Arabidopsis thaliana: one gene and its partners. The protein of the gene in region 1 interacts with the protein of each later gene in a pairwise test. Each region holds a gene or a part of one and is shown on either strand. Other genes may lie near its edges.

Evidence for each region.
Region 2: the proteins of BRH1 (region 1) and UBC34 interact in a protein complementation assay, tested with the Arabidopsis thaliana proteins (one large-scale study listed by BioGRID).
Region 3: the proteins of BRH1 (region 1) and AT1G07860 interact in a protein complementation assay, tested with the Arabidopsis thaliana proteins (one large-scale study listed by BioGRID).

What each region holds. Positions count from the first base shown.
Region 1 is NC_003074.8:22,737,190-22,748,221, forward strand, and holds BRH1 (brassinosteroid-responsive RING-H2), read right to left. Parts: upstream 5,096-11,032; 5' UTR 5,025-5,095; coding exon 4,512-5,024; 3' UTR 4,322-4,511; downstream 1-4,321. Other genes in the region: CYSC1 (cysteine synthase C1), read left to right, coding at 37-116, 195-254, 330-410, 505-603; SYP73 (syntaxin of plants 73), read left to right, coding at 1,266-1,421, 1,504-1,629, 1,735-1,894, 1,983-2,068, 2,156-2,224, 2,307-2,351, 2,441-2,503, 2,585-2,661 and 1 more; LHCA2 (photosystem I light harvesting complex protein), read left to right, coding at 8,547-8,599, 8,924-9,111, 9,216-9,730, 9,826-9,843. UniProt on the Arabidopsis thaliana protein: May be involved in the brassinosteroids (BRs) signaling pathway and regulate the growth and development of rosette leaves. Seems to prevent over development of leaves and inflorescence stems.
Region 2 is NC_003070.9:5,914,251-5,925,608, forward strand, and holds UBC34 (ubiquitin-conjugating enzyme 34), read right to left. Parts: upstream 6,093-11,358; 5' UTR 5,729-6,092; intron 5,727-5,728; exon of another isoform or gene 4,948-5,726; 5' UTR 4,913-4,947; coding exon 4,856-4,912; intron 4,653-4,855; coding exon 4,598-4,652; intron 4,185-4,597; coding exon 4,146-4,184; intron 4,064-4,145; coding exon 4,000-4,063; intron 3,900-3,999; coding exon 3,838-3,899; intron 3,772-3,837; coding exon 3,714-3,771; intron 3,637-3,713; coding exon 3,609-3,636; intron 3,445-3,608; coding exon 3,353-3,444; intron 3,173-3,352; coding exon 2,896-3,172; 3' UTR 2,582-2,895; downstream 1-2,581. Other genes in the region: AT1G17285 (uncharacterized protein), read left to right, coding at 6,465-6,862, 6,968-7,037; AlaAT1 (alanine aminotransferas), read left to right, coding at 8,521-8,742, 9,342-9,392, 9,471-9,521, 9,610-9,675, 9,753-9,814, 9,901-9,979, 10,057-10,161, 10,250-10,360 and 4 more. UniProt on the Arabidopsis thaliana protein: Accepts the ubiquitin from the E1 complex and catalyzes its covalent attachment to other proteins.
Region 3 is NC_003070.9:2,424,712-2,435,191, forward strand, and holds AT1G07860 (Serine/Threonine-kinase RLCKVII protein), read right to left. Parts: upstream 4,721-10,480; coding exon 4,555-4,720; intron 4,515-4,554; exon of another isoform or gene 4,473-4,514; coding exon 4,231-4,472; 3' UTR 4,200-4,230; downstream 1-4,199. Other genes in the region: AT1G07840 (Sas10/Utp3/C1D family), read left to right, coding at 128-215, 458-637, 721-900, 984-1,151, 1,241-1,392, 1,481-1,595, 1,703-1,714; AT1G07850 (transferring glycosyl group transferase (DUF604)), read left to right, coding at 2,034-2,590, 2,666-3,068, 3,182-3,727, 3,889-4,008; AT1G07870 (Protein kinase superfamily protein), read right to left, coding at 4,231-4,472, 4,555-4,667, 5,232-5,530, 5,610-6,001, 6,107-6,296, 6,394-6,632, 6,991-7,132; ATMPK13 (Protein kinase superfamily protein), read right to left, coding at 9,482-9,645, 9,727-9,910, 10,016-10,348, 10,441-10,480.

The DNA of each region.
Region 1 (11,032 bases):
CGGTTGCTGATGGTAGAGTTTTGAACTTTGAGTTAGGTCCACATGCTATCACAGGCAATGGTGTTGGATTCAAACCAGAAATCTTGGATATGGATGTTATGGAGAGTGTTCTTGAGGTATAGTATACGGCTAAAGCTTCCATCTTTTCAATAATCTCAACTCTTAAGGCTTATGTTTTGAGAATACGTTAACAGGTTAGTAGTGAGGATGCTATAAAGATGGCTAGAGAATTGGCATTGAAAGAAGGTCTCATGGTAAGTGTTTTGATGATGTACAGAGATAGTTTGTTTGTTTGTTTTCTGGTCGTAAGTATGGACAATAACTTGTAGGTTGGGATATCGTCGGGAGCTAACACCGTGGCAGCAATTAGACTGGCGAAAATGCCAGAGAATAAAGGCAAACTCATTGTGGTAAGAGAGGACAAGTGTTTTCTTTGGTCTTTGTTATTGATCTATGTGTTATGATTTGGTCAGAAATTATTGTTTTGTGTTTATTATCATATAGACAATTCATGCGAGCTTCGGAGAAAGATATCTGTCGTCTGTTCTGTTTGATGAGCTGAGGAAAGAAGCAGAGGAGATGAAGCCAGTTTCAGTGGATTGATGAAGGAAGACTGACACTTTACCAAAAATCTCGGGAGCAAAAGATTATAAAAAGAAAGATGTAAGAGTAATAAGTTTGTGTTTATATTGTTCTATTGTTGATGTATAATATAATCACAGTATTGTTGATGTTGATCTTGGATATTGAAGATCCAACTAAATAAAGTTCATCATTTTCTGTTTCAAATAGGGATTTTCTGCTGGTAAATTCCGTCTAACTGAGATTTTGCTGATGTAACATAACATTTTACAAGTAGAGCTATACCGATTTCCAACAAAACAGAGGATTGGAAAATCATTACTCTTTTTTGATGAAATAAAACGTATACATTTACAAGCATTGACTATTAAATAAAAGCCATAAATATACTAACAACGACTGAGTAGTTGACCAATATATCACACTCAGAATCAACATTTTTGACTTAATAAAGAAAATAATCTTCAACTTTATAAGGAAAGTATAATCTTCATGATACGCCCTCGTGGCAACAGATCGAACGGCCACAAAACAATCTTCTGTGCTTTTGTAAGCTATAAGCTCCACGTGTCATTTCTGTAACTGTTCTGATCATATTCAAAACAAAAACTTTCAGAAGAAACCTGAAAAAACCTTTCGGAGAAATCTCCGGCGAAAAAGAACCCTAGCGTCGAGCGGCGAAGATGGGCGTAATTGATTTGATCACTAGGGTTGATTCCATCTGTAAAAAGTACGAAAAGTATGATATCAATAGACAGAGAGACGCTAATGTCTCCGGCGACGATGCTTTCTCCCGCCTTTACTCCGCCGTCGAATATGCTCTCGAAACTGTTCTTCAGGTTCGTTTAGATTTCTCCGATTTCGTTTCGTTCTCTGTATGTTTTTGTTTTGTTAACTGTAAACTTGTGAGGGACGTTATAGAAAACAGAGGATTTGTCGTCTGAGACAAACAAAGCGAAAGCTGTGGCGATGAACGCAGAGATTCGAAGAACTAAAGCTCGATTGCTTGAAGGAATTCCAAAACTTCAGAGGCTTTCTCTCAAAAAGGTCTTTTTCTTAATTTTTGTTCGATGACCTAATTTTCTATCAAAGTCTGTGTTGGTGAGAGGTTGGTTTTGTTGCATGTGATGATAAGAAAGGAGTTGTTTTTAGGTCAAAGGACTTTCAAAGGAGGAGCTTGATGCTAGGAATGATTTGGTTTTGTCATTGAGAGATAAGATTGAGGCCATACCAGAAAGCTCTGCTCCTGTTGTAGGTGGTTGGGAAGCTTCAACATCGTACTCGAATATCAGATTCGATACTAATGTCTCGGGTATTATATAATGGTTTCTCTGTAGTTTGTGACCTCTGCGTTATAATATTAGTATGTTGATTAATGAAGACTTTCTCAATTGTATCAGATGACAGAATTGGTAGTGAATATTTCCAGCCAACCGGAGAGTCTGATCAGTTTAAGCAAGAGTATGAGATGAAAAGAATAAAACAGGCAAGTGAGTGTGTTGCTTATTTGGTTTATCATTAGGTCTATAACGATCGATTTCTAAAAACAAGAGTCTAAATTATCTGTAAGCAGGATCAAGGATTGGATTACATAGCTGAAGGACTGGATACACTCAAGAATATGGCTCAGGACATCAATGAGGTTCACCTATACCGATATTCTTTTCTGCGGTTGATGTTCTGGTTTCCTTTATTGATCCTCTTACTGGTACATTACATTACAGGAACTTGATAGGCAAGAACCACTCATGGATGAAATAGATACAAAGGTTTAATTAACTAACACTTGTCCCTGATCTGAGTTTTGTTTTTAACGAGATCGTCTTTACCGTTTCTTGATTCGGTATTTATCATTCAGATTGACAAGGCAGCTACTGACTTGAAAAGCACCAATGTGAGGCTCAAGGATACTGTAACAAAGGTGATATAACTGATATTGAGATCGAAACCAATCTCGTTTTAATATATAGTTAACCTCATTGCATTCTATTTGGTAATATAGTTGAGATCCAGCCGCAACTTCTGCATAGACATCATCCTCTTATGCATACTCCTGGGAATCGCTGCCTTCATATACAAGTAAGTAACCTTTTTTATTTACTCGCTCTTAATCTTGGAGAGTTGAAATCTTGCTTTCATCTTCTTTATCTTTATTTGGCGATTTTGCAGCTCTGTGAAGTGAAAGCTGGTGATGCCTGTCATTTACATTACACATGTTTATGGTAGAGACAAAATATGGAAGTTTCACTTTTCATCTGTCTATTATACACCCATGTATTTTAAAATATGCTTATTAGTTGGTCTAAATAAAATAGCAAGTAAACTCCAATGCAAATCTATAGCTATCTCACACTGATATCTAAAAGAAAAAATCATTATTTATATAAAAAAAAGTTACTCTAAAAGACATTGCAAATTCAAGTTCATGAGCTCACTTCAAGAGAAGAAGAAATACATGACAGATATTACAACTTGCATCACATCCATCATAATTCTAGCAAAAAATCCAGCCAGGTTAAGATTTGTTTGGTGATGCTGATTCAGATAATCAGTTCACGATGTGACTTTTAAGTGGAGCCAACCACTACATAGCTCCTGATTCTTATTGCGCAACTGCAAGCAATGCTCTCGGAGGTGCTTGTGCTGCTAACTATAACAATTTACAAAATACATTATAAAACATATATTCCCATAATATTATATTATAATGTTTTGTATACGTGTGTGTGTGTGGACTACGAGTCTACGAAAATCTAAACCAACTCAAATTGCTTTGTTGTTTGCTGATAGATAGATAGACTATTATAAAAGTAGATTCTCTAGCTAGTACATGAAATCTAGAACAGGGCATGATATGGATTATAGATGATGGTGATTTGTATTGGTCATCTTTTCAATCATTACCCAAATAGTAAATGCCACTTTCCCCCATTTTTAACCTACCCACTCTGGTACTCTTCAATTATCTTTCTCTATAGTGAAAGCATGTCTTCTCCCTTACCATCCTACAATGAATCTGATCACCTTCAGTCAAAATAATGCTACATCAATAAAACATCTGATTAAAAACAAAAATAAAACATCTGATTATAAATAGGTATTCCAGAACATTAGGACTAGAATTTCAGTTTTTCATTTTAGATTTTCTCTTCTGATTTTTATGTTTATATATAATTTGTAGAATAATCATAGTAACTATTACAATAAATAAATCAGAAATGTTCGGTTTTCAAGATTTTTTGGATTTCTGGTATATTTCTATTCAAGTAAAATAAATTCATTGAATTATTACGTTAGAATTGACTGATGGATCTGCAGACCAAGCATGTTACGAGATTCTGCCTTTACGCATTACCATGATCCATTGAATTTAGATCCTTTTGGTAAAAAACTAAAGATAAAAAGATGACTCTTGTCTTTAAAATATTTATTACCATAATTACCAACAAAATTTACAGAAGTGATCACTGGTCACTGGTCAGAGACAAGTTCTGACAAGATCTTAACTACTCCCGGTTAAAAATACATTAATAACTCTTAGACTTAATTAAAATAGCATAAGTTACTGTAAATGGAAATTTAAGGTCATAACTTTCAATCTGCAAATAAACCACTTGACTGGATTATAAAAATGTAAGACTGAAATTTATACTTATGGTATTGATTTTGGATATTCTTAGCATGTAACTCAATTTTTAATTTTCTTTTTAACTTTCAAAGTAAATAAACTACTTTTTATTTTCCTGTCTCGGTAATATTTATTGCTCATCTCTCATTCATATGTAAGGAGTATATACACACATAAAAGCGTGGCAAGTCTAAATGTCAGTAAGAGGGGTGAAAAAAGCAACATCAAAAGTAGAGGGGTGAAAGTCAAAACAAAAAAGAACATAAGGGACACAGAAAAAGATAGAAAAGCGTGGCTTCTTCTATAATAATTCGGTCACGGGACAGTGAAAATCATGAACACCAGAAGCAGCCCATAGCCGTTGATTAAACTCTTCTTGCATCTCATCTGGAACAAACGGTGTTCTACAAAGTGGACACGTCTTCTGATCATGATCCATCCAACGGTCAAGACAGCTCCGGTGAAATATATGTCTGCAATTTCTCAGCCACCGGATCTCTTGTTCTCCTTCGAATTCGTATAGACAAACGGCGCAGTTTTCCGGTAGATCTTCGCCGGAATTCGTTAACTCTTCGAATTTGATAACCGGTAGGATCTCTCTAATTAGGAGTGCGGAGAAAGGTGAGCGGGTTTCGGGTATTCGGGTCGGGTACGATGTGTAATCGGGCCAGGTTTGATCCATTTCGAGAAAATCTGAGAGACCCAAGAAGCGGAAGATAGAGAAGACGATGGTTCTGATGAATCCGAGAATCGAAAGCGTTTGTACGAAAAGCTTCGGTAAGAAAACCTCTGTGTAACCTACGGGAAAGCCCATGGAGAAAGCTAGGGTTTTTAGAGAGATAATAATGAGTGAGCTCTGTTTTTTTTCCTTTTTTTGAAAAAGTTGATTTTTTTAATGTCATGAGGAGTTTGATTTATAGAAATCAAAGGAAGGAAGAAGATGAAGGAAGGAAGGAAGGTACAGGATTCGTCTAAACGACATCGTGTCGTGTAAGATTGATTTTGATAGAGTTAACTGACTGTGACGTTTGTTATGTGAACGTTCCAATGAGGTGAAAAAGAGTAGAAATGGGAAAAGATTGAAGTTGGACTGTGAGATTTGGTTCTGTCACCAACATTGTTGGATTTGGCTACGTGCGTCTCTACAGTATAACTTGGTTTTTTTTTTTTGGGAATAAAAGTATCTGCAAGTTGCACGACGATCAGCACACGTGGTACGTGCGGTTGATGTGGATTGAGGAATTAATTCGTCCTATTTTTTTATAAATGGAATTACGTTTTTTAATTTTAATTTTTGGGATTCGTTGAATGTTATTTAACACGTGAAATTTACACTAGGCAGTAGATAAATAGGGTTACGTTCTCGGTATTAGGACATTTTCATAAGAACAAACAAAAAATAGAGCACTAATTATCATTATTTTAAAAGACATTAGTATATGAAAATTTTATCAAGATCGTTAACTAATCTTGTAGTAAAGTAAGATCAAATGGCTGAGCTTCATTCCGTAAATCACACGTCAAAGAGGTCTCATGCGTTGTCTCTATTAGCATTTATACTGGTTATAGGAAAACAACAAATGTATTTGAAAAGTATAAAATTCTTTTGTAATTACATATGATAAGCTAAGTAGCTAACTACTGTATTAGGTTCTTTTCTTTATTTAACAAGTTTAGATATTTGTTTTGTGATTCTATGTTGGCATCAGTGGAGGTGTATATATCAAATAATGCGAGGGATCACCTAAAATATTACTATTTCTATAAACCAGTTCATTGCTTTTGTCTTTCTTTTTTTTTTTTGGTAAGCTGCTTTTGTCTTTCTTATATATATAGGAAACTATGCTCTAATTTGCACTACGGTTTGGATTAGTTTCTTATTTTGACTACAGTAATATAGTTAGGATTGCTTCTAGTTTTGAAAAAGATGATAATATGTTTTGAGATCGGTACAATGTTTAATTGAAATATATATATTTGATGATCAAATTAAAGGCATATTAGGTTGAGTAAAAACATTACAAAAGCAAAAGTTCAAAAAAAAAAAATGAAGAAAGCAAAGAGAAACGAGAGAAGGGTGTGTGTGGGTCAAGGAGGCTTTAAAGAGATGATTAATAAAGAAGAGGAATCAACCTTATCTATACCCCTCACCCTCAATTTCGAAAATGATAGATTATATATATACATAATTAATAATTATATAAAAGTAGAAAAAAGTCTATTGTTTAACTGAGTGGTGGACCGGAGAGAGGTATAGGAGACAAGTCGTCGGTGGCAATGATCCTTCCACCAACCGGCAATGGTTCATGGCTCAACTATGATCGGAGAAATGTCGTTTTTGCAATGAACATATATGTTTTGTTATCTATAATCGTATTTTAAAATCAAGTGGTCGTATATATATACTCTAATACTTATAGTCATGTGGAAATTTTTTCATAAGATGTACAACTTACTTACGATGATATATTCAAACTTAGTAGGAATTTATTTGGTTCTATAGCCTATATATAGTTGACTCACTCAAAAATAACCAGAGATAAATAATAAAATTGATGTTTTTTGGTAATATTTATGAAGTATGGGCCTTATTTATAATCACACGCTGAATTCTGAAACCTTATAATTAGAAAACGCATTCAAAAAAAAAAAAAAATAACAATAAGAAAATCTATATAGCCTAGTAGAACGGTCACAAAAACCCACAAAAGTATCAAAAACTCGTAAACCATCAACGTTTGAGCTCATTTTGTTGTTATAGTCAAAATCATTCAAAGTTATTTTGACAAGACGTATTGGTACCATAATAACGCATTAATACACCTATACATTTATAAATTATTTTATTAGTTATACACGATGGTAGTACAAGAATACATGTATTGTAGTAGAATTTTGTAATCAATTAATGTCACAAAATTCAAACCAAACTTCAATGAGAAAATTCATGATGCTCAACTAGTCAATGTGTATGTTATACGACAAAAAAACATGCAATTTGTCAATTACCATCGATCCAAAAAAAAAAACCCTCTAAAACGATAAGAGGAACGAAATAAGTATGGAGAATGGTGTGTTGATTTGGAAATGTTATAATGAGGCCGAGACAGCCACATGGCCCTATTGCTTGTATGCATATCATCTCATCTCCTACCTCTCCCACACTTCTCTTTGTCATGTCACTGTTTAATTTTTGAATACTCGCACCATCTCGTTCTCTGGTCCCATGATGCATCGATACGAATATACTTGATTGACTGTTTCTTGTTTGTTTCATAACTATATACCCTACTTTAAACCCTATTTGATCCAATATTGATCTTAGATTTAAGATGATGTTTCGGTGGAATATGAGGTTCAATCATTGCTTCATTTGTAATTAAATAAAATTTTAGATGATACTGAAAAAGTCACGACAATACAGATTTTTTTATTACACTATAATTGTTTTTCAAATAAAAAGATTGGAGTTCATGTATTCAGTCTCTGTTAGGGTCTTAGGAACCTTTTGTTGTTGATATTATACGATAAAGATATAATTAGCTTATTCTCTATCTTTATGATTCCTATTCCTACTGATGTCTTTATGAATCTCATAATTTATAGGTCACATAAAACATGGCTAATCAGTGTTTTGCTAATCATAAGATTTTATAGATGTGATTCGCAATTTTGTTTCCTACAAAGCAGGGGTGGTTTTCTAGATAGAAAGAGATAAACGTATACAATCATTCGCTATAATAATATATGATCGATTAACAACGATGTTTATAGATATTTAATCATTTTGCTAGTGAGTATACAGTCTTAGATCTCGTCGTCTTGTCTTTCTCCTACACGTCACATGGTACCACTTCATGTTTCTTTTTGCTTGGTACCACTCCATGTTTTTATTATCAAATTGGATATAGAAAAATTGCAATTAATTTGTAGAAGGTACATAAATGAGGTCCCGCTCCGGCAAATGTTAAAGCCGTAGTTATTTTCTTGAAGGCCTAATGCTATCAGCTGAAGATTAAAAAAAGCCCAAAAACATATGGGCTTTGGTATTCTTTATAAGCCCAGTCACTTGGAATACTAGCTTATATTTTCTTTCTTTAAAACTCAGTTAATAGTTATGTTCAAATAGAGAGAAAATCTAAGATGTGGTGGGACGAAGTTGCCACGTGCCAATGAGTTGACCAATGAGGAAACTCAGTGCGTTATCCGTAGGGATAATCAGATAAGCAGAATCTGATTTTGTCACCAGAGTGCTTTTATAGATTACACAACACACGTTCGTTTCTTTCTTCTTCTAACACACTCTGAGTCTTGAAGGTCAACAACGTCGAGAATAATGGCATCATCTCTTTGTGCTTCTTCTGCCATCGCTGCCATTTCTTCTCCAAGGTAAGCTCATCTTTTTCTCTCTTCTTATCAGTTATCATCACTTGCTATGTAGGAATGAGACTAAGATCCTTGTACAGTTGTACTTAATTAGTTTCGTTAACATGACTATGATAGTGATCCATTGATTGGGATTTATGATCTAGTATCCGAGAATGTGTGTGCGGTTGTAAAATTAGTGATCCATCATCCATTTAGATTAAACGTTGTGCGACTATTGTTTGTGTGATCCAAACACCGATCTGCCCTATGTAATAATATGAATTTATGCATGGTTGGTGTTATTGAAGTTGTGACTAAATTTTTAGGGCTATGATATATGTGCAGTTTCTTGGGTGGTAAGAAACTGAGGCTGAAGAAGAAGTTGACTGTTCCAGCTGTGTCCAGGCCAGATGCGTCGGTGCGCGCCGTCGCAGCTGATCCAGATAGACCAATCTGGTTCCCGGGAAGCACTCCTCCAGAGTGGCTAGACGGTAGCCTCCCTGGTGACTTCGGATTTGATCCTCTTGGTCTTTGTGAGTATATTTTTTTTGTTCCTCCTTGCATGCTTTTTAACAAGTTTTATAAACAAAATTAGACTATATTTATAATTTTCTGACAAAATTTAGACACATGTCAGCATCGGACCCGGACAGTCTAAAATGGAACGTACAAGCCGAGATAGTCCACTGCCGATGGGCTATGCTAGGAGCCGCCGGGATATTCATCCCAGAGTTCCTAACGAAGATCGGAATCCTCAACACTCCGTCATGGTACACGGCGGGAGAGCAAGAGTATTTCACGGACAAAACCACACTCTTTGTCGTTGAGCTCATTTTGATCGGATGGGCAGAAGGACGTAGATGGGCCGATATCATCAAGCCCGGTAGCGTCAACACTGACCCAGTCTTCCCAAACAACAAACTGACGGGCACAGACGTTGGTTACCCAGGTGGGTTATGGTTCGACCCGTTGGGTTGGGGATCCGGTAGCCCGGCTAAGCTCAAGGAGTTGAGGACCAAGGAGATCAAGAACGGAAGGTTGGCTATGTTGGCAGTGATGGGTGCTTGGTTCCAACACATCTACACTGGCACTGGTCCTATTGATAACCTTTTTGCACATCTTGCTGATCCTGGTCACGCCACAATCTTCGCTGTAAGTGTGATCCAAATCAAAACATATCTTTACTAAATGTTCATAACGTCGACACGTTTAATTGACTAGCTTTTGTGTGTGTGTTTTTTTTACAGGCTTTCACACCCAAGTGAGACAACGAAAAAGGGTTATGGGGAGGTGAATGCGTTTGTGTGTGATCATGTTTGTACAAATATCATTTTGAACTTAAAATTATTATGTACTTTATATAAATTGTGGTCGAATGCAAATTAAGGTTCCCCGTAACACTCTTTTCCTAACTCAATGATCATAAGATGCTTTTACATTGTCATTCGGAGCATAAAAGAGTCCATCTTAATTGTTTTTCGTTATTGTTGATATCTAAGCTTATGTTCTTCTTCTATCTCTCTCTCTTACCTTTCTCTCTTTCCGAATATCTCTTTCTCACCTTTCTCTCTCTCTCTTGCTTACCTTTTTCTAAATCTCTCTTTCTCACCTATCTTCTTTTCTCTCTCTCTCAATATAACATGACAAATTTAAATATTGAAAATCAACTGAAAATTTGTTATTGTCTAATGCATATTCACTAAAGTTAAATCTAAGATAGTAGTTATACGTTAATTATGAACATGATTTAGCAATTATACAACTTCCAAATAGATAAGGTGGAAAAAAGTGAACACATGAGTAAATTGAAGTTTAACTTGTAAATATTTTGTACAGAGAAAGAACCTCTATCAATTAACACTCGATAAATTAGTAATCACTATAAATTACTTATTTTTTCAGTCTCGAGTTAGATCAATGTAATATTTAACATCATTTGATAAAATAATAACTTGTTTGAAAATCTAATGTAACTAAATAGTCTAGTAATATCGTAAATTAATAATCATTATCATAAATTAATATAAACTTATCAAACATCAAAATTCCGATTACAAAAAGAATAAAAGTTTAGTTATGTTATTAATTATTAAAAATTTAGACGAAGGTATACTAGTTTTGTAATCCCATTATTAATAGTCTATAGAATGGTAACGGGCTAACGGCGATGGTGATAAACGGAAGAGAAGAGAGAGAGCTAGGGTTGGAGAAAGAGACAAAAGAGAGGGACTACGGAATGCAGAGGAAAGCTTCGGCGGTGTTCATAGGGTCGTAGAAAGGAGAAAAAAAACAGAGAGAAACGACGGAAGGCAGAGGAAAGCTTCGGCGGTGCTCATAAGAAACCCATGGAGAAGTCTAGAGTCGGAGATGTTGTCGGAGAAAGGAGAAAAAAACAGAGAGAGAAGACGGAATGCAGAGGAAAGCTTCGGCGGTGCTCAGCTCATAAGAACCATG
Region 2 (11,358 bases), on another chromosome or scaffold:
GAACCATTAGACAAGCTAGGCGGAAACCACTGTTAGATCTTCTAGAGGATATTAGGAGGCAATGCATGGTTAGGACAGCCAAAAGGTTTATCATTGCTGACAGGTGCAAAACAAAGTACACACCAAGAGCTCATGCTGAGATTGAGAAAATGATTGCTGGGTTCCAGAATACACAGAGATACATGTCCAGGGATAATTTGCATGAAATCTATGTCAATGGAGTTGGCTACTTTGTTGATATGGACTTAAAGACATGCGGCTGCAGGAAATGGCAAATGGTTGGGATCCCATGTGTTCATGCAACATGTGTGATAATAGGGAAAAAAGAGAAGGTTGAGAGCTATGTGAACGACTACTACACAAGAAATAGGTGGCGAGAAACATATTTCCGTGGTATTAGGCCAGTCCAAGGGATGCCTTTGTGGGGTCGATTGAATAGGCTGCCTGTCTTGCCACCACCATGGAGAAGAGGCAATGCCGGAAGGCCAAGCAATTATGCAAGAAGGAAAGGAAGAAATGAAGTTGCCTCTTCCTCAAATCCGAACAAAATGTCAAGGGAAAAGAGGATCATGACATGCTCTAACTGCTTGCAAGAAGGGCACAACAAGAAATCATGCAAAAATGCTACTGTTTTAAGTCCACCAAAGAGACCAAGAGGTCGACCAAGGATAAATGAGGTTTGTATATCTTTCATTTCTATTTTCAAAAATTCTGTTTCAAAAACTGATTGTAATGTTTGTATTAGGAACCACAAGGGTATGTAGAAGGATCACATGGACATGATAATGGCTCACAAGGGCAGGGTAATGTGTTACAAGGGCAGGAAAATGTGTCACAAGGGCAGAACAATGGCTCACTAGGGCAGAACAATGGGTCACAAACACAAAGCCAAAGAGGAAGAGGTCGTGGAACACAAAGACAAAGGGGAACAACTCGTGGAGCACAAAGACAGAGGGGAAGAGGTCGTGGAACATCACAAGTGTCTGAACAACCACAAGGAGAAGCACAATCGCAAGGACTTGCTGGACTTGCACCATGGTTTGAATGTTCTCGTGGAACATGATAAGCTAGTCTCATGTTTGTTTTTGTTGTTTGAACTTGTCTTTATGACATATGTTTAGTCTCGGTTTGTTTTTGTTGTTTGAACTTGTCTTTATGACATAATCTAAGTCTTTTTACTTATTGTTGTTTGCACTTGTCTCTCTATATGATTAGCTTAGTCTCAGTTTTAAGAAGTTGACCTTTTCTTTCAAATGAAATTCATTACCATTACCAAAGCTACATGTCATTACATAGTAAAAGCATAACCAAACACAAACTAAACAACAAAGACCAACAACAAGAGAAACAACAAAGACATCACATTCAAACTAAGCTCCCATTCGATTACACACTAATAACCAAGAACAAATTTCTGGGTTTTTTTCTTATAGAACATTGATATTACAATTGCAATCACACTAAAACAAAGGCACACCAAGCACACTTTCGTCATCTTTTTCCATCTCTGAATTTCTCTTTTGCTCCACATTCCATCTTCTTTCAACTCTATCATTAGCTCCTTTAAGTTTGCAATTTCAACAGCAACCTCAGCTTTTGCATTGATTATCTCGTTATCAATGCTGGAGATTTTGGGTAGAGCATCTATAACCTCTTCATACATACAATCCTCCACCCATTTGAACAAATGATCCTGCAATTCCATCTCAAGCTTTTATCGACCAAACACAAAAAACATCACATTCTCATATCAAATCTACTTACATCTTCACAGCTTTTGCACCGAAAGAAAGGCCTTCCAGGGTTCTTAGCCGTGCTCGATGTAAACATGACGACGTCGAGCCCACATTTACACTTAACAGGAAACCCACGGCTCTTGAAACCTCCAGCTTCAGCATTCGAAATCATTCCTGAATTGCAGCCTCCACTTTCACCACTCGAATTCCTTGAGTTGCAGCTCATAATGCAGATTTGATCGAAAAATTTGAGAGAAAATGATTTTTAGGGTTTGGGTTTTGATTTGGGGATTTTTCAGAGGTTTCGTCGACTTTGAAGTCTGTTGATAGCACAAAACGTCGTCGTATCACCTTAACGGATGTTCTGTAACGTCTGTCAATTACGCTGTTAGAAGGAATTTTAACGGTGGTTAATTAGGCCGAGTCAACGCAAACTTGAATGTTAAAACAGAAGTCAACTTTTTGTTGAAAGTTAAAACGGCCATTTCACGAGTTCACGGTTAATTTGACCATTTTTTGTAAGTTGAGGTATTAAATAACATTTTTCCCACTAAATTATAGAGTTAACATTATTAACCATAAACATAATCACTTTCACTGGACTGGACTCGAGCAGAAGAAGAAGATTGGTAACAAGTCAACGTCGGTGGTTGAAGACAGATTGAACCGGTACAGCCATACCGGTTTTAATTTATCATTAAGTATGGTTTTTTCCTTTTCTTACCAATGGGCCTAAAGGGACAATTGCTTAATTGGCCCAATATACCTAACAATTCTATTCACTATTGTCTGTGTATTCTCTCTGTCACTTCTGTTTTCATCAAGTTACTACACCAGAGTATTTACATAAATTGACAAATTAACCTGTGAGCTCTAGGAGAAGTACAATTTGAAAACCATACGGTTCTATTTTTCAAATCCAAACCATTATCCTCAATTCATATATACTATACAAAGTAGTTCCAACGAAGCTACAATATGTATGTAATTGTGAAACCAAACTTATGTTATCTGCTTTTACAAGCACAAACCATGAGGTGCTAAATGAGTAAATTCAGACGAAGAGCACTAGACAAAAGGAGACTACTCTTGATGCTGAAGAGAGAGAGACACAAGGAGAGATTATACGAAAACCAGGTCGAGGTTTGTTGCATAGAAATCACAGTTGAAGCAGAGGCAACGCCATTACCACACCGAAAACCGACACTAGCAACAGTATTATCCACGCTGGCAATCCCTGTTTATTGTTCTTTTTCCTCTCCTTCAAGCCACCTTCTGAATCTCCCTTTGTTGGATCGATGGTTTTCTCTGACTCGACTTTGGTATCGCTCTTTTGAGGAGACTCTGGTGTTGTCAGTTGTGTGGTAGCTTGCTCAGCTAGTTGCTGCTGGTTGTACTTCTCTACATACTCTGGAAATAGCTTTCGAAATGCTGGGCTGTCACAAGTAAGAACATTGGATTCAGGTGAAATACCGAAAACATGTAATCTCAGGACTGCATTCATTCCTATATTCGTTATCTAACCAGCTTTTATGACTATCCTAACCACAGATAACTAAACTTAGCTTCTATATGAATCCAGAATTTGAAATTTTTTGATGATGGGAAAATCTTACGTTTTACAATTGAAAGCGAGAGATGACTTAGCCAACCGTTGTTTCTCAATTACAGTAGTGTTAACACTTCCAGTTGTCGGACTGGTATCCATCTGCGCCGCAAGGAAAACGTTTAGAGAAAGCTTGAGAACAGAAAAGAAAAAATAGACTTCCTTTTTGAATATTCATATCTAAGCTAATAAACCATTACAATATAAGAATATGAGAATTTTCAAACAAGATGTCCATAAATATGTAGAACCTACAGTGAGCTTACCATAAATGAGAGAAGTCCTGTAAGTATGCTGCATTCATGAAAAAAAGTTGGTTATCAACGGGTATATCGATTGTCATCTTCCAAAAGTAAAGAAAGAATCTATACCTTGATACAGACCACATCGGATTCCAGCTTTCTGGATGAACTGTAAATGCCATGTCAACTTATTTCGATATTAGACAAGTTAATTGATACGAAATAATGAACAGAAAGTGCAGATTGTCCTTACAATCACTCATAGATAAACAAATTTTCTTCTGTGTCATGAATCGACCATTTGGTGTAGTCATTCTGAGGCAAACAGAAAAAGATTTGGTTCATTAAAAAACTGGACAAAAAATGAGGTAAGAGTAATGTTGAGACTGAATTTGGAGGAACCATTGGAACATACGTAATCCCTGGTGGCTTGTAAGGATACTCGGGAGGAAACTTGATCTTTCCATAGTAAAATCCACCTGGTAAAGAGAATTTTAGTATCAAAAATAAGATACTGCGTAAGACAACACTAACAAGAAACTTTCAAAAGAAGATTTTCACCTGCAAAAGGTGTTCCCTCACTGCCTTCCAGCACATAATCTGTAAGATTAATCCAATAGTTTAACTCTATTTTAGTAAGAGATCAAGCTACCCTTTTTAACATACTAAATGCAGTAATAATAGAAAGACTGAAACTCCCTAACCGCTATCAGGCTAACAGTAACACTGACAGCCTTTCACAATTGAGAAGAAAACTATCAAATCTATGCATTGTAAGTACATATAAACCTTTGATAAATAAGTCTTCACTATTCCATCAAAGTAATGTGAGACCTCTTCTGTCTACTTAGATCGTAGTATCCCATTTTTTCTTAGTTTAACGTATACTCACAAGTGTAGCAAATATGTCCATCATATATACTTATCATAACATCTTTATAGAAACGCTTGCAACAGGATTACAGGAAGCCAGCAGGAATAAAGATTAAGAAAAAAAGATAGGGAAGGCTTACGCCACTCGAGAATGTCATTTGGGGAAGGACGAGCAACAACATGGGAGACTGGTTCCTAAAGGCCAAAAACAGAACATATTAAATAACCCCCAAAGAAACAAAAGAAAATATGAAACTTACTCTAAACCAAAACCAAGAAAACATTCACATATAGATACAGCATCATTTGAAAGTACAGAGAAAACTGGTTGAGCAATAAAAATATGGAATCCTGGTTCCAGCTCGAGAGAGGTAGAAAAACAAGTAAAGAGAGTGTACCTTGCAAAGTGCTCTATATTCCTTTTGAAGACGTTTTATACAGGCCTTTTCTGCCATCTACGTGCTATGGACGAAGTGAATAGCTGCAGCAGCTGTTACACCCATTTAACATTATCAACAAAACGAAATACAAATATGAGTGAAAGTCCACCTACTGATGAGATGGACTACATAAAACCCTTATGTCTGAATTACATATATGAACTACATAAAAACATATATCGAAACGAGTAAATTGCAGTTGATTTTCGTGCCATTGATATGGAAACTTTACCAATTGTACTATCTCACAACACATATACAGAGATAACAATACTTCTAGCTATTATGCAATACTTTCATGACCTGATTGAAAAGAAAAACCAACCAAATACACACAAGATCAAATGAAACTTGAGTCAAACAACTCTATGATCACCAGAAACACCCTTTGAATAAAAATCCCCAATTTCCATGAGCTTGGAAAAATCTTTTCACCCAAATCACTGCAAACCAATTGAAAGCAACGAAAATTCAATCGAATTCCAACCAAATTAAAGGAAATTATCTGGAAATCCCTGGAATTATATATCAACCTAGAAAATCCTTTGATTGAACCGAGAAAATTGCAACAATGATAGGCAAACCAAACTCGAATCAGCTGCAATATCTTCCATAAATATATAAGAAAATCACAGATACTTCCACATAAACCGTATCAAAGCAAAGTCTTAAACTTGTTAGAGATTCCAATTGCAATTTCAAGCTTCGCTCTTACCCAGAAACGCAAAGGAACAAGAACAACAAATCAAAAGATAATGCAGCGAAGAAATTCCAAAGTAGATAACATCAGATCCAAGAAATAATTGCGAAAATATGAAAGAAATTGATCACCTGAATCGAATTTTGTCGATGAAGATTTTCTCTCTTGGGGTTTCTCGTTAATCTCACTTTCTCCTTCTCCGCGGGTAGAGAGAGAAAGAATTAGCCTAACTCGCGCTTGGTTTATCTAAACCGAACAAAATTCAACACAAGTTAGACCGGTATTGTATAATCCATTCCGGTTCGTTATTAGAGGATCAATGATTTAATAATTATTTTGCGTAATGCACTTTTCCCTATTTCTTTATTCTCCACCACTCATCAAAGAATCTGTGCCGGTTCTTGGAATCAATTTTTCCTTCTCTTCATGAAATATAAAAAAAATAGCTGCAGAAGAAGAAAAAAAACTAGTGATTAGTAGTGAGACAAAACAGCTGTTACCTGCAATTTTTTCTTTTCTGAAATTGGACTTACACTAATACCTCCAAATTCCAAAGTTATGCTTAAAAAATAATTTCAATAAAGTTAAGTTTCAGCCTCTTTTGAGTTCCCCGATAACAGTAGGCAGAAATCACGTGCTCTAATCACATGACCACCATCTCTTAGTTTCAAAGCAGTTACATGAGTTAGGTAATGTGAATATGTGGATCTTTGTCTCTACATATGATATTGTATCATTGTTTCAATGTAGATGCTTGAGGAATATCATCATCATCGTAAGTAAATGATTAAGAATAAGATAAGTATCTCACCATCTGATTAAATAGCATTAGTCAAAGTAAGATCACGTGATCAGATCCCAATAACTATGTGTTCAAACACACATAAATCTTATTCTATAAAACCAACAAGCTTTAGAAGTCTCTCGTCTCTCTTTTCTCTAACACACATCTCCATCCAAGATTTTCTCAGTTCACAGAAAAACAGAACAAGAAAAAGTCAAGAGGTTTCAAGAGTCCTAAAGGAAATTTCAAGAAGAGAACTCAGAATGAAGAGATGCTGTTCAGTGGCTCTGGTTCTGTTACTTGTAGCTTTCTTTAGCAGCAAGTATAGTGTAGAAGGACGTTCTCTGTTAACGATGACACATTCGAGTCAAGCTGTGAGAGATTTGCCTGTAAGCAAGGAGATGAAGAAAGAGCCACTTAAGGGAGAAAATGATAGCTTCAGAAGAATCCCAAGGAGTGGCTCAAACCCTATACAGAACAAGTAAAGAAGATACGAGACACAATCTAGTTTTTCTTTTTTTTTATGTATCCCCAAAGATGAGTTTTAGGTGTAATTGACATCAAAAAGTGTTTCTTTTTGTATCAGGTGTAATCCACCGGTAGATGTTAAAGCAAGTAGGAAACAACAGCAGATCACAACATCAAGAAAACCTTAAAATTCCAGTTCTTTTTTTGTCCTTATTTAGATCCTCTACTTTCGTTTTTTTTGTAGAATAGGTACCTAGACATGTGTGCTTTTAATGCTGTAATCTACTTGAAATATATGAACTCATCTTTTAATCTTATTGATCGATCAAGATAGGATGAAAATTTAAAACGCCTCCTAGCTCGAGTAGTCTAACTTTCCAAAACTATTCTCAACCTCTTTAATCTTTTGAGTTCTTCTTCTTTTCTCTGCTTTGTGGTTTCTTTTATTTGACTTCAGCAGACTTATCCTCAGCCATAGCATGTTGTTCTCAGTGGTGCTTAAAACCTTAAATATAAAATGATCAACCTCTTTATCTATGTTCTCGGTTCTATATGCTTCAAAAATGCATCCTCAGATCCGTAAAAAATTGAAAGTTGTTCTGCAGGAAACCTCACAATATCCTGACTATTTAGCTGCCTATCTCGATATCCAGTGATTACTCCTCACTGCAAAACAGCAACAATGAAAGAAGTAATCACAGCTGTGAGCACTAGATTCCTTTTGACATGTAAGTTTGTACTTCTCTAAAACACCGATACAGATTGTTGAGATTGTTTACAAACTTTTGGACCAAGAAGAAACAAAGTGGCATCCAACACATTACTCAAAAATGACGTCGTTTTGCTGATCCCATGTATAATAATATTACTGTTATTAGGAAACGCTGAGAAAACCGCCGCCAAAATGACGTCGTTTTGCTGATCCCATGTATAATATGATGAATTTTTCCCACGAACCGGTTGGGCCGGAAGAGAGTCTCTAAACCGTAACTCGGCCCATAATGGCCAAATTTTGTCCAATTTCTAACAGCGTTTTACGCGCCGACTCCGACCAATAAAACACATGGTTTTGTCTGAATAATCCACGATCCAGAAGTTCTTTATCTCCAATTAATTGTTCATTATTATTATTAGTACCAAACTAAATTAAAAAGAAGAAGAAAAAACCACCTTCATTTATTACGACCTCTCTTTAGACAAATTTTTTGACTAAGAAAATATCATAAACGGCTAAAAGACTCGAGATTACGGATTATGGATTGAAAACACACAAAACAAAACAAAACAATAATAATAATCTCATTCCTTTGTTTGAAATTAAAAAAAAATCTCATTTACGTTTATTACATTCTTTTTTTAGATTGATTTTTCGTTGAAAAGATAAATATATAGATGGCTTTTGACAGAGTATTTGGTAAGAAAGAAAAAAAGAAAGACATTCAATATTCGTTGAAAAGGGTTTAAAGAAATCCGTTGAAAATAAAGGAAAACAAGATAAATTCTAAATCCGTGGACGGACAAAAAAATGTCAAAATCAGTGTGAATTGGAGAGAGAGAGAAGACAGGAATTGGGAAGTTTCGTCTTTCGAGCAAAACTATCGAAATCTAAATTTAGATTGAGAAACAAGCCAACAAGCTTTTTAGTATAAATCCCATACCACACAATCACAAATGCGGAGATTCGTGATTGGCCAAGCTAAAAATCTCATAGATCAGAGTCGTCGTCGTCAACTTCATCATCACAAAAATCTCAGCTTTGTCTCTCTTATTCCTCCTTTTTCTGCTCCTTCCGATTCTTCATCGCGCCACTTGTCTTCTTCTTCTTCTTCCGATATGTCTGCTTCTGATTCCTCTTCCTCTCTTCCCGTTACTCTTGACACCATCAACCCCAAGGTCCGTTTTTTTCTTAATTTTTCCTTTATTCTCGCCTTTTTGGGTTGCTGTTTGTTAGTGATTTGTGTTCTGTGTTTTGGATTATGTTTCCTCGATTGATCTGTGTCTTTTTGCAAGCTTTGATTTTGTTTTATACTCCGATGAAATTTTGTGATTTATGATTTGGTAAAGTGAAGAGCTTCGTTTAATTTCTTCGAGATTGCTCTGTACTTGATTTAGGGTTTATTGATCACCTGCTTGTGTTCTTTTTGGGCATCATGTTTCGAGTTTATGCATATTATGATTCGTATCCTCGTCTCCGCATCTTGATCATTGACCCTTGATGGATTTATTTCTTTTACGTATTATATTACTAGGTGATCCTTTGTTTATAGGACTATTTAGAATCCATTTTGTTCTTCAGCTTTTTGCGTATATTAAAAAAGTCTGTTGCTTTCTGAATTCTTCATTTTTGTTCTTCCTTGTGATTAGCTCATACTTTACAATTGAATAGTTTATTGTCGAGGAACAGTTCTGCATCTTAAATCTAGCTTTAGTGACTGATGTTTTGTTTGGTTTTTTTTATTCTAACAATATGGTTTCTTTTTGGGGGTTCTCAGGTTATCAAATGTGAGTATGCTGTCCGTGGAGAAATTGTCAACATTGCTCAGGTTAACATCTTTGTCCTTGATTGTATATTTCTAGTGGAGACTGTTTTGCTCATTTTGATTTCTGTTTCCATCTTACAGAAATTGCAAGAAGATTTGAAGACTAACAAGGACGCTTATCCCTTTGATGAGGTACGTTATAATCGGTTTAGTCCTTTTCGTGTTTTCAAGCTTGATTCTTTTCATGAGTGAAGCTTACAAGGTTCTATGTTTTTGGCAGATTATCTACTGTAATATCGGGAATCCTCAATCTCTTGGTCAACAGCCTATAACATTCTTCAGAGAGGTAAATAAGTGAGCTTTTATAGTGCTGGTTTGTTCCATATGTTAATCATGAGTTAGCTTGTAACATTTATATCTCAGGTTCTTGCTTTATGTTCCTACACAGCCCTGTTGGATGAGAGTGCAACACACGGTTTGTTCAGGTATCAAAAGTGGTTTATATGTTTCTTAGTTGTTTTGATTCTGTGGTGTAAGATTTTTTAACATTCAACTTTACAAATTTTATCAGTTCTGATTCGATTGAGCGTGCTTGGAAGATTCTGGACCAAATTCCCGGGAGAGCGACTGGTGCTTACAGCCACAGCCAGGTTTGTGGCATTGTGAATCTTGACAGCATTTCTCTCTCAATGATGATTCCCTCTCTTAATCTTCCGTTCTTCCTCAGGGTATCAAGGGGTTACGTGATGCAATTGCTGATGGAATCGAAGCCCGTGATGGTTTCCCTGCTGATCCTAATGATATATTCATGACAGATGGTGCAAGTCCAGGGGTAAGGATTATCAAACTAATCTTCTCGTAACTCGTAGAATCTGGAACACCTTGTTTTGAAGTTGACAGTGATGTTCCTCTCCTTCTAGGTTCATATGATGATGCAACTTCTCATAACTTCAGAGAAAGATGGAATCCTTTGTCCTATTCCTCAGTATCCATTGTACTCAGCTTCAATTGCCCTTCACGGTGGAACTTTGGTATGTTCGTTATCTTTGTTTATGATGATGATATCATTTTGACGCATTACTATATCAAATGGGAAAATGAATCTGTCTCCAAAGTTTCTTTTGTCTTTCTTCTCATTGTCGTCATGTTCTTCTGGTAGGTTCCATACTACCTTGATGAAGCATCAGGATGGGGTCTTGAAATATCTGAGCTGAAGAAACAACTTGAAGATGCTAGGTCAAAGGGCATCACTGTGAGAGCTTTGGCTGTCATTAACCCTGGAAACCCGACAGGGCAGGTAAATTAATCTTCAAGACTAAAACTCACAAATTTATACCGATGTGAATTTCATAGTTTCGTCTAAATTTGACCTCTGCTTTGTTCTGGTAAAAGGTTCTTTCGGAAGAAAACCAGCGTGACGTTGTTAAGTTCTGCAAGCAAGAGGGTTTAGTTCTTTTAGCAGACGAGGTTTATCAAGAGAATGTCTATGTCCCTGACAAAAAGTTCCATTCCTTCAAGAAAGTAGCCCGCTCTATGGGCTACGGTGAGAAGGATCTTGCCTTAGTCTCTTTCCAATCTGTCTCCAAAGGTTTGATACAAAAACAAATCTCTTAGTCAATTGATAATTCTGATCATTGCGATGGGAAACTAGTCAGAAAACTGAATTCATTATTTCTGACAGGGTACTATGGAGAGTGTGGGAAAAGAGGTGGTTACATGGAGGTTACTGGATTCACTTCTGATGTAAGAGAGCAGATATACAAAATGGCTTCTGTGAATCTTTGTTCCAACATCTCTGGTCAAATTCTTGCTAGCCTCATCATGAGCCCACCCAAGGTATAAAACATCTATATGACTTTATCATCACAATTGATTCAGTTTCCACCTGTTGGCTTGGACTTGCACATCGATAATTGACCTTAATAGCTTTTATTAAATTTGATCAGCCTGGTGACGACTCCTATGAATCATACATAGCAGAGAAGGATGGAATTCTCTCATCTTTGGCAAGACGTGCAAAGGTTAGCCA
Region 3 (10,480 bases), on another chromosome or scaffold:
CTTGAATAATGAATCGTTGAATCACTTTAATTGTCACAACTCACAATCAAACGAAAATAATAACTTGTGTATTTAGATATGCCTCATGTTTTTACTGGTCTCGTTTTTGTTATTGTAACTGTCTCAGAGAAGCTCCACAGCTAGCATCCGTGTTGAGAGAAATGAAGAATGTTCTAGATGTGGTTAGGAGCAAAGTGGAAGCTCTGACTGCATTGGTACGTAATCTGATAACATATTTTTGTTGGATTCTACTTTATTAATATCTACTCGGTCTCGTCTATAACATGTCTAGTTTCAATTGGGTATAAGTAGAATTGACGACTTCGAGAACAAACTGTTTGCTTCTCCTTGAGGATTTTTAACCAAAGTATTGTATATAGCTGCATCTGCCGTTACCATTCAGAGACACAATGGGTCATTCATGACATCCTGACTTTCTTAATTTTACAAATCGTAGGTAAAAGCAAACAGTTTTCCGACAGCGGGTGGGATAAGTTATCTTGAGGCCAAGCATCTGTTACTTCTAAGTTATTGCCAGGATCTTGTATATTATATTCTAAGGAAAGCAAAAGGACTCTCTATTGATGGTCATCCTCTTGTAAGGAGCCTTGTAGAGATACGTATGTTTCTGGAAAAGGTTTGCATCTTTGTCTTTTTCCACTTTCTATATCGCCAACAAGTCATGGAGTCATAGTTTTAGCTTGTTTTTCTTTTGTGTAGATTCGTCCCATAGACAAAAAACTTCAGTACCAGATTCAGAAGCTCACCACAGCCGGTGGGCCTGTGACAGAGCTAGCTCATTCCGAGGGAAAGGGGTCGTGTGAAGCCCAAAAATCTGAAGATCTTTCAAATTATAAGCCTAAACCTGACTTACTTGCTGACAAAGAGGATGACCAAGAGGTGAAACCTTACTATCCTCCAACACTTGTGAAGAAATATGTTGCGTGTTATTTTTATTAACCTCTTTGCCTGTGTAAATGTAGGATGATGGTGTTTATCGACCCCCGAAATTTGCCCCTATGTCTATGGAAGATAAGACTTCAAAACAAGAAAGAGATGCTGCCAGAAAAGAGAAACACTTTTTTAGACAAGCCACTGAAAATACATACATGAAAGATGTGTTGGACGATCTGGAGGACAGGCCTGAAGAGGTGAGTTGGAAGGAAATTAATTTGCAGTTGATATGCGTGGTAGAGATTAATTTGATGTTGGAACTAAATGGGTGAATGAATATGAACAGATTAGAGACTATTATGGGGTTGAGAGCAATGAGCAGAAGAGGTTTATGGCACAGTATGAAAGGCAACAAAAGGCAGAAGAAGAGCTCTTTACCCGGGCACCTCGCACTAAAGAGGATAAGAAGAGAGAGAAGCGCTTGAAATCAAGCAGCGGGTACGTGTTTGCTTTGGTTGGAAACTGAAGTGTCTGATATGTAATTGGTCCTTATGTGATGATACACACTCATGTTCAACTGAATCAGGTTGCATGAACTAACCGAGAACTTTTACGATGATATCAAGTTCTTGGATAAGGATGGTGAAAAGCCAAGAAGCTTCGGCCGTAATAAAAGGGGAGGGCCATTCAAGAAAAGAAAGGTAACTTTTTTCTTATTCTACTATTTTTTTCTCAAATATTCTGCCTTTTTTTGTTTTTGTTTTTCAGTTTCTTTTGTGTTTGACAATGTATTGTTCAATTTTCGCAGACAAGGCACTGATATGGATACACCAGTGGTTCCTTTAGCTGCTTCAGTGCACCAATTTTGTTGCCATGAAAAAGATACAAATTTTCGATTTGCTTTTATGATTAAATGTTGAAAGTGGTGAATGTGAGAACTTGTTATCAGTTTTAGTATTGGTTCATGGTCATGCTCTTGCAGTAAAATTAGGAAGAGACCTTTTCTCTTTAGCTAAATTTAGCCTGTTACTACTGAAACTTCGTTATCATTTATAAAAAGAGATGTCACCAAATCTGATTGAAAACAAACAAACAAAACAAAGTAGTGTCGATCTATTTCTTTTCTATTCCCATTAGCGATGGGAAACAGTTCGAGCTCTAACACCAATCTCAGCAACCCTAAGAACATACTTCTAGAAGATCATCACCACCAAAGAAACCAAGCACAAAACCACAGCAACTCTGCTCGGACCTCTCACCTAAGCTTCTTAAGATCTCCTCTGCCATGGCTCTTCATCTTCCTCTTCTTCCTCCCTTTGCTTCTCATCTCTACAACCGGAGGAGGTGGCTCACGCAAGACCTGCCGTCCCTCTTCTTCTACCTACAGCCACCTGTCCCTAGTCGACAAAGCAAACTCATCTTCCTCTGTTGTTCCCGAGGAAGAAGACGACGATGTGCCTCCACGTGTCCCCGCTCTTTACCCGCAGCGACCAAGGATGTTCAACACGACGCTTGATCACATCGTTTTCGGGATTGCCGCGTCCTCTGTTCTGTGGGAGACGAGAAAAGAGTACATCAAATCATGGTGGCGACCTGGTAAAACTCGTGGCGTTGTCTGGATTGACAAGAGAGTCAGAACTTACCGAAACGATCCCCTTCCAGAAATCAGAATCTCCCAAGACACCTCACGGTTCAGGTACTTACTCATCTCTACAATATCTGACGTGTTTTACAAGAAATCTCTTATTCAAATCAAGAAGTCATGTTTTAGGTACACCCATCCAGTAGGGGACAGATCAGCGGTGAGGATATCTCGAGTAGTGACGGAGACGCTTCGGCTAGGCAAAAAAGGTGTACGGTGGTTCGTGATGGGAGACGACGACACAGTGTTTGTGGTGGACAATGTGGTAAACGTCCTTTCAAAGTACGACCACACTCAGTTCTACTACGTTGGTAGCTCCTCGGAGGCTCACGTTCAGAACATCTTCTTCTCATATTCAATGGCATTTGGAGGCGGTGGGTTCGCCATCAGCTATGCTCTAGCCCTCGAGCTCTTGCGGATGCAGGACCGTTGCATCCAACGGTATCCTGGTCTCTACGGCAGTGATGATCGCATCCAAGCTTGTATGACTGAACTTGGTGTACCCCTCACCAAAGAACCTGGCTTTCACCAGGTGTCATTTTCTACGTTTCCTCGATGTTTAATTACTTCGGTTTGGTTTCGGTTCGGATTAGAACGGTTTATCTGGATTGAATACGTCTAATTTTAATGTTTCTATGTATGCAGTACGATGTTTATGGGGACTTATTGGGGTTATTAGGTGCACACCCAGTGGCTCCCTTGGTGTCGCTGCACCACATCGATGTGGTGCAGCCGATATTCCCAAAGATGAAGCGGTCACGTGCACTACGACACTTGATGTCTTCAGCAGTTCTTGACCCAGCCAGCATATTCCAGCAGTCCATCTGCTACGACCAGAACCGGTTCTGGTCCATCTCGGTCTCATGGGGTTTCGTAGTCCAGATAATCCGAGGCATCATATCCCCTCGCGAACTTGAGATGCCTTCAAGAACATTCCTCAACTGGTTCCGCAAAGCCGACTACATTGGTTACGCGTTTAACACGAGACCAGTGTCGAGGCATCCGTGCCAAAGACCATTTGTGTTTTACTTAAACTCGGCTAAGTATGATGAAGGACGTCGCCAAGTGATTGGATACTACAACTTGGACAAGACAAGGCGGATTCCCGGGTGCCGATGGAGGCTCGATTCGCCTGGAAAGATCGATTCAGTCGTCGTTCTCAAGCGACCTGATCCCCTCCGATGGCACAAGGTTGGTCCACATCTTCTCTTTGCTTCATTATTAACAACTTGCATCAAATATAGTCATACCGGTTTGGTTTTGGCTAGTGAATTGACAGAGATAACCGGCTGAGATCATATAATAAACCGGTGTTGAAATAACATGATGTTAAAATTGTGTGTTTGGTGCAGTCACCGAGGAGGGATTGTTGCAGAGTATTGCCGAGTAGGAGAAACCAAACGATGTATATTTGGGTCGGAAATTGCGCAGATGGAGAGATCAGTGAGCTTGAACATCCTCAGCAGCATTAACAAGATTCAGATATATACTCACTAAAGATTTCTTCAAATGACTATGCAATTTGTTGAAAACATTCTGTGTATCGTCGTTCACAAACAATTCTCAATCCTAAATCAAAAACTATTGTTTCAACTGAAGCAAATACAAAGAAAAGAAAAATTCAATCCCTGAAAGTTATCTGTTCATGAAAGAAATCAGTAAGAAACTGAAAGAAACTTTTCTCCGTTCAGAGATTAGACTGCGTGTGGCTGTTTTGCTTTGTTCACCGACTGGGTTGCATTTTGCTGCGATTGAGTTGCGTTGTGAAAAGTTGTGAGATTCTGATTGGTAGAGACGACGGCGACGAGAGCTGAGGAGGCTGGTGAAACAGCAGAGGAAGCAAGAATCGCTAAACTGACATGAGACTCGTTTCTCACGGCCATGGATTTCTCAAGACGATGTATCGACATTATCTCTCCATCGTTCATGACGCTCACTGTAACCAAAACCAAAATCAGAAAGACTCATTTTCTCGGGAAAATCTTTTCTTAGATTAAAGAATCGGAGAAATAAGGAACCTGAGTGGGAGAAAATCCAGAGGGTGAAGAAACAGAGAAAAACGATCACCGGAATTGCATGGATCCAATACTCCGATACCGGAAATATCCCTCTCCGGGTGTTTCCTGTCCTTCTGCCAATGTGAGAAGAAGAGATCGGGAGCTGAGAGAATGATCTTTCCGCCATTGTTGTCTTATCTTGTAGCTTCTCTTCCAAGAATCACAAAACCAGTAGAGAGAGATAAGAGAGAAGAGATTTGTGAAGCCTTCTTGGATTAGGTTTTGGTTATTTAACGGCAAAAATCTTAACGGGTTCACGCGGGATAAGTTGCATCACGTGATCATAGTCCTATTTCTATTACATATTTACGACTTTTGCCATTCATCATTATGAATTTTTAGACATTACTTAATCCTAATTTACCAGACTTTTTGATCGGGAAAATATATATATGACCAACGATATTTGTTTTTGTTCAATATATGTATATATGTCCCAAAACAAAATGGTTTTTTTTTTTTTTCCTTTTCTACAGAACAGAAACATTCTACATACAAAGAAGCCGAGTCAAGATTTACATCCACAATAGATGTTAAAAATGTACCTGAGTTGGTTTTATATTTTTCCCCAATTTCTTGGTGAAGCCAAAATTAGATTTGATTTTTTACCACTCTCTTATTGGATATCCTATGAGGACCCTTCACATTCAGTTTCCTTGACGAGGTGTGGTCTTTTCTCTTCATCATCTCTGTCTCTGTGAAAAGAAGGGTTCTTCCCGCTGCTGCTGCTAGGGCTATTCGGATCATATTTAGAAGAGGCTAAGAAGTTGAGAGCCAATACTACATCAGATACCACTGGTCTCATGGTAGGCTGCTCTTGAACGCACATTGCTGATATTGCTAGTGCTTGGTACAGTCCTCTAACTGGGTATTGTCCCTGAAGCAATGGATCAACCATTTTTGGGAAGTTCCTCCTGTCTTTGAACAATGGTCGTGCCTGTTAAAAAGCACCGTGAAAATATGAGTCTTGTTTCAGTAAAGATTATTATGAGTCACAGCCAAGAGACAAAACATACCCATCCAACCAAATTCTGATCTTTACGCGTTTTTGTATTGTCAATCGCTTTCCTTCCGGTGATAAGCTCGAGAAGGACTACTCCAAAACTGTATATATCGGATTTAAATGTGAGCTGACCCGTCATAGCGTAGTCAGGAGCACAGTATCCGTACGTTCCCATAACCCTTGTCGAGACATGGGTTTTATCCCCGCTTGGTCCTACTTTAGCCAACCCAAAGTCAGATAGTTTCGGTTGATAGTCTTCACCAAGCAAAATATTCGAACATTTAAGATCTCGGTAAATCACAGGGGGCGTCATTCTGTCATGCAGATACTCTAAACCTCTTGCTGCACCAGCTGCTATTTTCATCCGGGTGTTCCAGTCAAGAGGCTTTTTACCAGAAGGGAGAACTTGAAACAGTCAAAACAACAATGTAAAAGTTAGATGAGAAAAGGGGGTAGCTGCGAGACAAACAATACAGAGGCAAAGGATAGGAATTTGATCTTACAACATACCATGTAGATGATCTTCAAGGGATCCTTGCGGCATATACTCGTACACCAGTAGTCTCTGATCACCCTCAGCACAAAACCCAATAAGCTTCACAAGATTCGGATGGTCAGCAAGACTTAGAGTCAATACCTCAACCACAAATTCCCTGATTCCTTGAACCCCATTACGATCAAGTTGCTTGATTGCAACAACCTAGCAGCAGAACCAAGTTTCACCAACCGTTCAAAACTATGACAAATCTCACAGCCAATTGATAAAAACAGATAGGATTTTTCTTTGTCACAAGTACCTGATCCAATTTCTCTATAGTTCCCTTGAAAACTTTTCCGAAACCTCCTTCACCAAGAAAACAATCCGATCTAAAGTTTCCCGTAGCTTCTGCAAGTTCTTGAAAAGTAAAAGTCTGTGCTTTCTTCCCTGTGACTTGGTCATTTAGATTCAAACCCTTCACATCCAAAGATAACTGATCTTCCTTACCAACTCCTCCTTCATTGTTTACATCTCTATATGGACTGACTTTTGTTGAATCTACAACACATGGAACGAGTAACAAAATCGATTACCAGTTATCATGTGACTTAACCAAAAACAGACACGGCAAGATACCAAAGGCTCAATTTTGACACTTTGTCCCCTCATGGAGGAGACAAAACCAAAAAAAACTAGCTCGATTTCAAAAACCCAACATCGTTTATATGGTGAATAGTACACATGCATCAAAATTCTCCGGGGAAAAATCACAAAAAATCTCCATTAAATGTCTCTCCCAAATGTAACAGATACAGAAAAACCTAAACATAAGTATCCGATAAAAAAAAATCAACAAATCCAAAAGAGAGCTTGTGGAGAAGAGAGAATAACGAAATTAGTCAAAATCACTCGATACCTGAACTGGGCTGAGTCTGATCGTCTCGCTTATCACTCTTAGCAACGCTCGTAGTACCACCGACAATTTTTCTATTTATGACAGTATCTTTGTTAGTCTCGGATCGTTTGCTCGATTTCTTACTGCATCCGAAACAACCCATCGGAAATTGAAGGAGAAAAGAGTAATTCTCGCTTGTCCCTTTTCTCTTCTTCTTCCTTCCTTCCTCGTTGAAGAAATCAGGAACCCAGATAAAACCCAACACCAAAAAACCAAAGAGAAGAGAGGAAGAAAAAAAAAAGTCGAAGAAGAAGGAGAGAGAGAGAGCTTAGTGACAAACAGAGAAAGCTTAATTTCTTCGCCTTTTTTTATATCGCGTAATCAAAAAAAGTTGTTTAATTTTCTTTGTTTCAGAGAGAAACGTATAGTTATCGTCTACGACAAGGTTCACGGTACATTACATATAGCGCGTCTAATTAAAACCAGCCACGTCTAGACAAATGTTTCTTCCTGAGGAGAACAGAAACGTACGGCTAGTGTTGAAGACAAACGTATCAGAAGACGCCACGTAATGGCACGAAACACTTGAGCATGGTCAACTTTTTAATTTGTCATCTACCGTCCGTTGGTTCGGAAACAAGCACCGTCGATCTGACGTGGCGTTAATGGAGCAATGGATTTGAGTGATTAAAGATTATGTCACTTCTTGATAAAATTATTTTCATACTGCCAAACATCTTTCTAGTTTGTCAATTTTCAGTATTAGTCTTAAAAATTTTATTAGCTACAACAAACACGTTTTTTACTCGATGGTTTGACAGGTATGGTAGATTAAATTGGATTATGATTATATTTGATTGAAAGATAAGTCTGATGATAGTAACATTTTTGTAGCTGTCACCAATCGCCTTACGGGTGACGTCGGTGTTAGACGACGGCAAAATTACTCACCGTTTTGGAAATATTTTCAAATGAGGTGAGGAAAACAAAAAGGACGTCATTGTGGGTCCCACGTTTTAACTCCACGCGCTTTGTTGTCGAATGTTTTTTCAAAAAATTATTTAATTAATAACAGGCTTTTTTTGTTTTATGGTTCCAAGTACAGTAATTAACTGTGCCGCGTTTCAGCAGATAGCGCCACGTGGCACATATTAATGTTCTTCGGAGAAGATTATTTAATCTCTCTCATTCATTTCTTTTACCTATAAGGTTTAGGGTACATTAACAACTCCTGTTACAATACGTTGACATTTTAGGCCGTAAAATAACTTTATGAGAGACAGGCCATCCTTTGCTGGCAAAAATAGTAAAAGCTATATGCTCTGTTCGAAAAAATAGTAAGTTAGACAGAAAGAAAAAAAAAATGTTTTACTCACTAAACTTTTTTGGTGTTTATTATTCTAGTAATCGAGAAATTTGTTTAACATTGATATTCCATTTTCAGTTTACTCCAAGCCCACGATGGCCCAACGTCTGATGAGTCATTTCATTTAACCCATTGCTCGTTAGTTTGCATTAAGTTTTCAACTAGATAAAGTGAAGATTCATTTTTTTAATACAATGAAGAATTCATGTATATAACATTAATTGGTGGATTACAATTTGTATTGTATTCGGCTATAATTAGCATTTTTAACTGGAAAAAAATGTCGTATATCAATTGGTGTAGAGTTTTTGAAATGTTTTATACCTACTATTTTGATATTTGTTTCAGTAAATTTATAATAAGCACAAAAGTGGACTTTCCTTTCTGTTGGCCTCTTGGGCCAGCATTAAAAAACCTAGTCAACTCCTTTTTATTAAGAAAATGGATTTTCTATAAATATATCAAAATTTTAATCAACAATGGATTGAAATAAGTTTAAATTAGAACTTAGTTTGACAGCTCGAATTATTTAAGAAAGGAACATAATCTATAAACAAATGTATGGTTCAACAAAGATATTGTTTATTAATTCTTTGGAACCAGCATCCGTAAACCAAGACGTGTTTGGCTTTTGTAGCAAACGGTTTCATTCGGAGATGTTTTCACGTTTAATTATTAAAAATACATATGCAATGATGTTGACTTGCTTGGTCCAATTCAAATTATCTACTAATATCATATACCAAATTATCAATATAAAACAAGAAAATTACCTTTCGGCAATCGATTGGCATTACATACATTTTTATTTAAAAAAAGCTAGCTAGTTTTGTAAATAAGAGAGTTTGCTTTAGGACGATTTAGCTAATCTTTGGGACTTTTAAGGAATTTGGTGAAATTAGATTTGATTTAGGCAGAGTATGGTCGAATTAGCTTTATCTTGTGTAGAGATTGGTCGGGTTGAAATTATTTGCAATCGCTTAAGGGTTTGTTTGGGTAAGAACTTTTTTCCCATTGCACAACCAACCATCAGCAAAACAAACACATGCACACGAGAATACGAGTCATGTTCACTATTCCCCACAGCTTAGACAAATAAGCTTTCAAGTGTCTTAAAAATTATGAAGAGAGTGAGAATTTGGGAGATTACATATTCTTGAAGTGTAAAGACTCTCTCCAGACAAGCTCCTTGATGTCTTGTTCATCTAAGGCTGTCTCCTCAAAGTCAAAGCTGAAAGGAGTAGGACATGTTGGTTCTTCGTTGATCTCATGGAGACTTGCCAAGTACGGCTGCTTCAATGCTTCATCCACTGTCAAATTAAAACATATTGTTAGTATATTTCACATTCCATTTATAGCATCACAAAGTAGTAAAACAACGTGATAAGCACCTGTGATGCGCTTTGAAGGATCGAAAACTAGCATCTTTTCAGCAAGATCTAGAGCCATTGGGGAAATGTTTGGAAACTTTTCTCTGAATGATTGTTTTTGAACATGTGGGAGTTGTTTTACGTACTTCCGCGCATTATCGCTTCTCAAGAAGTCGAGATCCGAGTCATCTGGTGACCCTAAGAGCTAAAAACAACCCAAAACAAAACAGAGAAATGCTTCCAACAACCAACACACACACACACACAAACCAAAATGATAGATTTTGGATTAAGGTTTTAATTTGCTTACCTCAGTAATAAGTTTCAGCTGCTGAACGTAATCTTTACCAGGGAAAAGCGTCTCTCTTCTAAGTATCTCCATGAAAATGCAACCAACAGACCAAATGTCAATAGCTCCTGTGTATTCAGAGCTGTTGAGAAGCAATTCAGGTGCACGGTACCATCTCGTCACAACATACTCAGTCATTATCTCTGTCTCATTCGACGTTCTTGCTAGCCCAAAATCACAGATTTTCAGGTCACAGTTCGTATTCAGAACCAAGTTGCTCGGTTTCAGATCGCGGTGAAGAACATTTGCAGAGTGTATGTACTTAAGGCCTCTCAAAATTTGGTAAAGGAAGTACTGGAGACAACAAAAAAGTATATCAAACAATGCTAAATGTTAGGAAACATTATGTAAAAGCTCTAATTAGGAATGTGTCCACTGATCATCACCTGACAATGGTCATCAGTTAGAGTTTGAGTGGATCTAATG